Arabidopsis thaliana: one gene and its partner. The protein of the gene in region 1 interacts with the protein of each later gene in a pairwise test. Each region holds a gene or a part of one and is shown on either strand. Other genes may lie near its edges.

What was found. Proteins that work in one complex are often made in the same cells at the same time.
Region 2: the proteins of AT3G61180 (region 1) and AT4G03600 interact in a protein complementation assay, tested with the Arabidopsis thaliana proteins (one large-scale study listed by BioGRID).

Annotation. Positions count from the first base shown.
Region 1 is NC_003074.8:22,643,312-22,648,442, forward strand, and holds AT3G61180 (RING/U-box superfamily protein), read left to right. Parts: upstream 1-2,180; 5' UTR 2,181-2,368; coding exon 2,369-2,913; intron 2,914-3,113; coding exon 3,114-3,233; intron 3,234-3,328; coding exon 3,329-3,461; intron 3,462-3,542; coding exon 3,543-3,707; intron 3,708-3,802; coding exon 3,803-3,979; 3' UTR 3,980-4,454; downstream 4,455-5,131. Other genes in the region: LCR53 (low-molecular-weight cysteine-rich 53), read right to left, coding at 1,159-1,337, 1,432-1,480; LCR54 (low-molecular-weight cysteine-rich 54), read right to left, coding at 4,460-4,641, 4,779-4,827.
Region 2 is NC_003075.7:1,602,983-1,607,027, reverse strand, and holds AT4G03600 (pyrroline-5-carboxylate reductase), read left to right. Parts: upstream 1-2,399; 5' UTR 2,400-2,719; coding exon 2,720-3,208; 3' UTR 3,209-3,390; downstream 3,391-4,045. Other genes in the region: AT4G03610 (Metallo-hydrolase/oxidoreductase superfamily protein), read right to left, coding at 111-168, 247-356, 451-486, 567-631, 730-835, 924-1,065, 1,163-1,293, 1,397-1,538 and 1 more.

The DNA of each region.
Region 1 (5,131 bases):
TTGATTAAAATTTCAGAGTAAAAAAACAGAAATGCTGATGATAATATATATGTGAATATTATATATATATATATATATAAGTAATTAAATATATATATATATATATATAGTATGATACATGAAGAAAAAAAAATAAAAAATAGACAAATTCAATAAATAAATAGTTATATAGATGATGGGAATGGAAACAAAATCATAAAATATATAAACATAGGAAGGATATTTACAAAAATCAATAAAAATTAAATAAAATAAGAGAGCTTTATATATATATAATTTAAATTTTGTAATATATTGAATGGTCCAAATTGCATTCTCATTGATATTTATCTATAAAAAAAGGATTTGAAGTTCTTTTAATATCTTAAACCAAATGAGGGTTTTTGTAATATATGTGACTTGTAAATATCATCTTTATATATATGTGTGAAGTTGTGTGTCTACGTGTCTAATATACAATCAATCCTAATAGAAAAAAAAGTTGGACGCATTTGATTTGGAAAGCATTCAAGTATATTAATTAGAAAGAAAATAAAAATCCAAATAAACTGTATATTCATAAGATGGACAAGTCAAGAGATAGTGAGAATGGAAGTAAGTGTTTTAGAAAGTAATCTGTTCAAATATAAATAGAATTGAATTCAAATAACACTTTTAGAATGAGATAAACTTTTGATTTAAATGCCATCTAATTCAACAATAAGATATGAAAGAAAACCTCTTTTTTGTAACTAGATTTCCTGTTTCTTGCCCAACATCAAAACCATTGGATTTGATTTTGTTTTTTTTTTGGTAGGTCAGATTTTATTTAGTTAATGAATATGTATATGTTTTTAATTTAGATAAGGAATAACTAAGATTATTCATTCCGCTTTCATTCATGTGTTTTTAAGACTTTTGTTTCAAATATACCAATGTTTTAATTTTGTAAAATAATTGTTATATCCATGATCCATCCCTGTGAAGCTCATATGCTCAAGTAGTAGCTTATAGTTCATGTGAAATAAGAAAATGAAATCAGAATTTATATAATAATATAAGACATTGTGTAAGTTTAATTTTATTTCATGTCATTATCATTGTGACATTGTCATTATCATTAGTTTTATTATCATTATTTTATTACTATTATAAATTACAATTTGACTTTGTAAGAGTTCAAGTTTTGCAAGGAAATGTGCAGAGGCAGCTTTTTCTATATACGTTTGGGAAGCACGATCCATTTCCTTTCCATTTTTGCTTACACAGAGTAGCACAAGTGCTATCGTCACAGTTTTTAGCTCTCATTAAAAGATCACGACACATTTCTTGTCCTTTCGTCTCTTTCGTTACCATCCCTAACAAATATTAAAACATAAGCTTTAAACACAATCTTCATAGAACCAAAAAGATGTATTAAATGTTTTAAAGAATGGTATATGTAACGCAAACCTAGAACGAAGACGATCATGAAAATAGCGAATATGGTGGATTTAGCCATCTTTGATAAAAATTTTAGAGTAAAAAACCAGAAATGTTGATGATAATATAGATGTGAATATCATTATATATATATAAAAGAAATTAAATATATACATATAGTATGTACATGAATAAAAAAAAGTAGACAAAATCAATAAATAAATAGTTATTTAGATGGTGGGAATGGAAACAAAATCATAAAATATATAAACATAGGAAGGATATTTACAAAATCAATTAAAATAAAATTAAATAAGAGAGCTTCTCTTATATATACAACTAATAATTTTAAAATTTGTAATACATTGAATGGTCCAAGGTGCATTCTCATAGATTTTTATCTATAAAATATATGTAAATAAAATCCAGTTAATTATCTTACAATTCTGATTTTCATGTACAATAAGTTGGATTAATCTTTAAAAAATAAGTTGTAAGGATCCATCAAATAATCCCCTTCTAACTATAATACGCATATTTGGAGTTTAAACTCTCAAAATTTAGATATTGAATTGAGCCTTAAACCTCGAAAATAAAGTATGTCTACTACAATGATATAATTTAGATATAAACTTAACATAACACAAATTGTGGGGGTACAAAAAATGTTAGCAAAAATATAAAAAGTCCTTTTGGAAAATAAAAAGATTTGAGCAACTACATTAAGTTTATGTATTTTTTTAGAATTTCCCGGAAGAATAAAACTACTGTAGTCTCATGATATCAAAACGTTTATTGGGGACAAGACATTCTCTTGTCGTTTTGTCAATTATCCATTAGATAGAAACTGGTCCTCGAAACCTAGAATCATCCACCCCGCAAAGTCGACAGATTTCCAGCGAATTCAAACCCGATCCATCGAGATTCTGGATCAACCCGATTACCCAAGATCCAATCTTTCTAATTGATGAATCAATCGATCCCTTCTACCGTATCTTCTTCTCCGACGACTGATACGATGGACGCTTCGCCGCTTCTTGGCCGGAACAGACGTAACCGCCCACGGTCCTCTCAGCCGATTCGTGGCGCGGCGTCGAGACTTCTCCGCCGTGCTAGCAACCGCCGGATGATGCTCCGTGAGCCCTCCGTTCGAGTCCGTGAGGTGGCGGCTGAGCAGCTTGAGGAACGGCAGAGTCAATGGGCTTACTCTAAACCCATTATAGTTCTCGATATACTTTGGAATTTCCTATTTGTGATTGTTTCAATCGCGATTCTAGGGTTTAGTTCTGATGAAGATCCTGATGTTCCTCTTAGGTTGTGGATCATTGGGTATAATGTTCAGTGTTTGTTTCATGTTGGATGTGTCATTGCTGAGTATAAACGTCGCCGTGTTGCTAATTCTCCTCCTCCTAGTGGTGAAGATTCCTCCAATCACGAGTCTCTTAGCGGAAGTGAAGATGAATCTGATGGCTATAGCATTAACAACACTGATGATGATGACCATGGAACTAGGTTCAATTTCTTTCTTATGGCTACAGCATTATACTAGCTTAGATTCAGAGCAATGTTGGTTCTTGTGATAGACTTATACTAGCTTAGAATTCAGAGCCATGTTAGGTTGAAGGAAACTTTTAGGATTGTATAGAAATAAAGAACTGAATGAGAACTGTTTCCCATTGATCTACTCTCATGTGGTTTGTTTCCTATTCTAGTTTCACTAAGCACCTTGAATCTGCGAATACCATGTTCTCTTTTGTGTGGTGGATCATCGGGTTTTACTGGGTGACGGCTGATACCGAGGCACTAGCTCAATCTTCGCCACAACTCTACTGGTTTGTTTCTAACAAAAGTTGGCTGTTGTGATTTTGTATTCTCAAGAGTTTGTTTCTGTGATTTATTTAATCTTTGTTTCTTGTGTGTTTTGCAGGCTCTGTGTTGCATTCCTTGCGTTTGATGTTATGTTTGTTGTCATTTGCGTAGCGGTTGCTAGTCTTATTGGTATTGCTGTTTGTTGCTGTTTACCTTGCATCATTGCGATCTTGTACGCATTAGCAGATCAGGTAAAGAAACATTATGATGATGAAGAACAAATGAGTCTCATGTTTCTTGGTGAATCCTATTAAGCGATTTGTAAATTTCAGGAAGGTGCACCGGATGAAGAGATAGAGAGGCTTTTAAAATTCAAGTTTCTCACAGTAAAGAATTCTGAGAAAGTGAATGGCGAAATACGGGAAACTCAAGGAGGGATAATGACTGGATTAGATACCGAGTCTCAAACCGAACGTATGTTATTAAGCGAAGATGCTGTAAGTAACCATAATCAAATCTCCCATTTTCTATCGAATTTGGATAAAGACACTGAACTGACTTTAGCAAAACCGGAAAAAAAAAACCATTGCAGGAATGCAGCATTTGTCTATGTGCTTATGAAGATGGAGTAGAACTAAGGGAGCTTCCTTGTAGACACCATTTTCACAGTTTATGTGTAGACAAATGGCTAAGGATCAACGCTACTTGCCCTCTCTGCAAATTCAATATCCTCAAAAATGGTGAACCTAGTGGCAGTGAACAAGTGTGATGAGGAGAAAGATTTTGCTGTTCAATCTTTGTGGAATGTGATGAGCTCATCATCATCATTTACTTCAAAGCCTGTTTGTTCTTTTGACCATTACAGAGGAAAGAACAAGAAAGAAGACCTTGAGATTTGTTTTGAGATGAAGCTGCACATCTTGTCTTTTTGGATATGATATTTGTAAATGCAATAAGTATATATAGTTCGGTTGGAAGATGTTATTCATCGAGTCAGTTGTGATTTTAGCCGTTTGGTGTTTTTAAGCAACGGATTAATTAGATTAATGTACGGTGATGAACCATGCATGTTTATATTGCTGTGACGTCATTGTAGTGAGGTGAAAAAGAGAGAGAGAGATCACTATTTAATCAGAATTCACATTCAAAAATATATATATAAATCACTGCAATCAATTGTATTCTAAAAATTTATTCAACGTAGTAAGTCAAAGATTGATGATATAGTTTGTGGATAACAGAAGACAAATCAACTGGTGCAGTCATAAGTGCAGATGCAGACCGTGCTTGTAGTATCAACACACACGCCGTTTCCACCATGCTGCATAGTACATTCATGTGCGCATATCAAACCTTCGCAGTTTTCCTGCGGTGTTAAAAGATAATCATAACACTGTTTTTCTTCTCCTTGCGTTTCCTTTGTCACCATCCCTAATACAAAAAAATTAAAACATAGTCTCAGTTTCCTTTTGATAGAAAAATAAAAGGTGTTGTTGAAGAAAAACTAGTATGAATAATAAAGACGGAACGTGGAAAATATTAAAATATGTGTTATGTATAAAGCAAACCTAAAACGAGGACGACCATAAAGATAGCAAGAGTGATGGCTTTAGTCATTTTTGATAATACAACAGAAATGAAATTATCAAAAATAAGATGACAATGAGTGTAATGATCATCTACACGTGAATGTCATATATAAGATATCACAAAATCTCTAAAATTAGTTAAAAATCAACAAGTAATTAAGTAGATGTTGTATTCAAACAAAGAGAAATTAACTTAAAAGTGGAAACGTATAAAAGTGGAAAAGAGAAAGAGATCATATTACGATTATCTACCATACTAATGTGGTTATTCTGTAATCGTAAGTAGCAACAAGAGAGAAGCGTGTGGAAGTAGTTAAACTGTTAAAGGCTTA
Region 2 (4,045 bases), on another chromosome or scaffold:
TTTCATTACTGTATCAAAATATAGATTCTACTCATATAATTTTGGAAATTTTTGTCATTTGTATTCTTGATAGGTAACAAGAATTCTAAGATTTGTCTTTAGTAATTTGCTCATAGGTCTATTGGAAGCCGTAATCCGTCATGAGCAAGCTGTACATGGATTCCTTCCCTAGAAATCAACATAGTCTCTATTAGCATTCAACGATGTTGATTTATAGAAATCTTATAACATTGTTTCATTGCATACCTTAGAGACCATTCTGCAAGTATCTCATTGTATTCATGGTGATCAAACTCGTGTGTCATACCCGTTAAAAGCGCTCTCTTTGGACATAGCCTCTTTAAGATCTCAAGAGCCTAAAGAATAGGAATATTGAAACTTACTCTCAAAAAGGTTTAGAGAAGTGAAGCATTCTTTGGGAAGAAAAAAAAGAGAACCATTGAAACAAACCTCTGTAAAACAGATGTGTGTGGGATGTGGTCCTCTCTATTATCAAAGAGATGGTCAGCAAGAAAGGTTATCAAGATCGAAAAAGCGGTAAACAAAAGTTATGAGATGATGTGAACCTTCCACGGTATATTTGTATCCAGGATAAGAAGATCTAACTGTCCAGCCCCAGCTTTGGAAATAGCTGCTTAATCAAAGATTCATAAGAATATCAATCTTTCTCTTTAGTAGAAGTGAACTACAGAGGTATAATGATTAGGGCATAACATAATGAGCTCTTACCATACTCGGTACTCGGTGGAATCCGTGATACGTCTGATATATAAGCCACTTTACTTTTATCGCCGAAGAGGAAACCTAAAGCAATGTAGTCCTCTCCATGCATCACCTAAAGCATAACTAACATTGTTGAGTCTATAAGGTCTCATGGAAGAATTAGACTGTTTTGATTTCTCAAAAGTGAAAAGAAATTTAACCGGAAGAGGCGTGAAAGATAAGCCCGAGGCAGCGAATGGTTCGTCACAATTCTCTTCGATGTTTTTCCAGTCAAGAAGTGAAACTCGTCTAGGTACTTCTTTTACCTTCTTTTCAACCAAATAAGGAAACCTTGTAGCAATACTGCACAATTTTTTGTTGCCTTAAAAGTCTCATCAAATGCTAATTTGAAAAGCTTTAAGCCAGAGTTGAGATAGAGAACACTAATCGAAGATGGTACCTCTCCATTGTAAATTGAGATAGAAAGACGGGAAGTGGATCGGTATCAACAATAGTTGCACCACGAGGTTGAAGAGATCGAATTTCATCTAAGCCATGAACCGCATCTGCGTGCTCATGAGTTAGAATGATCTACACAAAATCATACAAGCATTAGTCAGTAAAAGTTAGATTTCATTTCAGAGAAAAAAATAGATGCAAGAGATCAAGAAGATAAGTATATAAAGGGCTTAACGGAATCGACTCGAGGAATCTTATAAAAGGTAAACCAACGAAGGACTTGCTCTCTAAAACTCTTGCCAACATCAATAAGTATGTACTTATGTCTACCATCTTCTTCCTTGCTGCAATAATCAATCAAGAGCGATGTATTGCATCTGCCAAAAAACAGAGAATCAAGATTCAAGAATGTTCACCAAACCCTAATATATCTGAAATAATTTCCCAAGAACACTAGAAATCGGATGGTTCATTTTTACCTAAAATGGATTAAAACCTAAACTCCAACACGAATATAGACAACAGTAGATGTCTCTTTTTTCAATCAAAACTCCCAACTTCAAAAGGGTCTTTACGGAAAGCAACAAGATTTGACATTTCACAAATCTCCACAGCTTCAAAGACCAAAACCCAAAGAGAAGAAACTGATGACAAGATTTACCTGTAGTTAGGGTTAAGGTGAGGAAGTAAAGAGAGGGACTGAGAACAGACATGGCAAGGAGGATCTGACGGCTGGAGTAAGCATCTGAAATCGGGAACTGCACCGGAGCAGCCTGTTCCAAGAAAGATCAGAGCCGTTCCATCATCATCAGATTGATTCTTCTCCATCTTCTCAAGATTCTGATCTTCTGGTTGGTCTAGCCAAAGCTGATTAATGCCAACGGCTATATCTTTGTTTATTGTATTAGTTGAGATTATATGCGATCCCTTACACAAACTTGTCTTTTTCACAGTATATATATTCCTTTTATTAACATAAAATATCTAAGCCATTACTTTGAGTCTTTGACACTGATATATGTAGTCATAATGATATTGACTACTAATTTTTCCAAACAAAATAGTAAAAGATTAATGACTTACCCCACAAATCCACCGGATTGTGATTTTTTTTGTTATATATCATTGTTTGACTCCTCTAAATTAGAAAAAAATCTTCTACATTTCTTTTTCTGTATAACAAAATCTTAAATTTAAATCGTTATGGTAACGAAATCTTTTCTTTTGTTTTTCCAGTTTATTGATTAAATATACTTCCACAGAATTTAAATTTACTTAATTATTAAAAACAATGCAGTCACAATCTTTCCAATTACCATTTCATTATCTCACAAATTCGACCAAATGTTTTTCATATTTCACAAAAAAAAATATATTAAAGCGCGTGTGAACCATAACCACGCGATTGCCAGCTCAAAAACAAATTCACAAAGAAGCGTACACGACACGCGCTACGACTGAGTGTAAGGATTCTCATAAACTGCTCTATTTTATTTTGCTCAGTCGCAGACAAATCTCAAAACAGATTCGATCGATAAGCAAGAACTTCCAATCTCTAATGGCAGATCAAACAGAATCTCCAAGATCGTATCATATCTTCATCACAATCATGAGTAAAAGACGGACATGGGTTTGTCTCTTCATCGCTGTCTACGCAATTCTCGTATCTTCTTCATGGAACCTCCTGAGATCAGTTCTTAACTGGTACAAGCTTCAATACACGTCATCAAATTCAGATTATTCTCCTTCAAGATTACCGGCGGTATACGCGTCGGTGGTGCTCGGTGCGATGTTTGGAGCTATGTCGATGGTGGCTGCTATGACGGTGGCGGTTCCGGCGGTGATGGTGATTTGGATATCGGTGGTGGTGTTGCTTGCCTTCTTTGGGAAATCAAGAAGAGTTTTAGTGGTTGAAGGAAGGAAGATTACGAGAGAAGTTGTCGGATTTGTGTTTAAGGTTCTTTTGAAAGAAGGCAATGTTGTTGCTGCTTTTTGTGCTGTTTTAGCTTATTTTCTGCTTATTAGAAGAGATTTTGACTCATATTAAGGTTCTTGATTTTTAGATTATTTAGGGAATTTTGATCTAGATTATCTTGAGTCACTCCCGAATGTAAATGTAAAGTTAATTTAGAAAATCAATTGTTAGTAGTAGAATGAAGAAGTTCATGATGCATTGGCTCAATTTTTTTTGTTTGTGGTTAGATAATTTTTCTTGATGACAGCATTTAGTATCTAGAATGGATCGTCCCACAACTTCTCATTTGAGATATTGAAAATCATGATTTGTTATCCGTTTGTGGGTTCATTGCCACACAATTTCAACACATGGACCAATAACCAAGTGATTTACATATCCTATTAAGTTTGTTATCAGTTTTCACTATTTAAGTTACCCGGTTATTATTTTAGTAGCTTAAAACTACATCAACTAGTTGAAGAGGCATGTTTTGCGAAGATAAGATCATATAATAATGGGTTACACAACTTCTTTCTTACTCAAATTCCTTCTTGAGGAAGGTGTAACATTCCAACATTGAAGTAGTGGATTTCACACACTGATACTTATTTTTATAAGTACCTTTCTTGATAAAAAGAATTCTAATACCTCAACTAAAAACTCTAATTTGGGGAAAAAAATTAATGTCTGCAAACCTTTTATAACAAAAAATTCTAAGAACTCTAAAATCATGAAAATGCGTGAATCTTTTTGTCTTTGGAACATATATTGTTGAACTTTTTTTTTTAACTGAGCAAAAAAAAGAATTTTTTTTTGAAAGACCAAATTGGATGACAATTATGTTAAATTTCACATGTTTCTAGGATAATAAGGTAATTTAAATACCATCGCTCGGTCTAGAGAATTACATCTTAGGATTTTGGGATT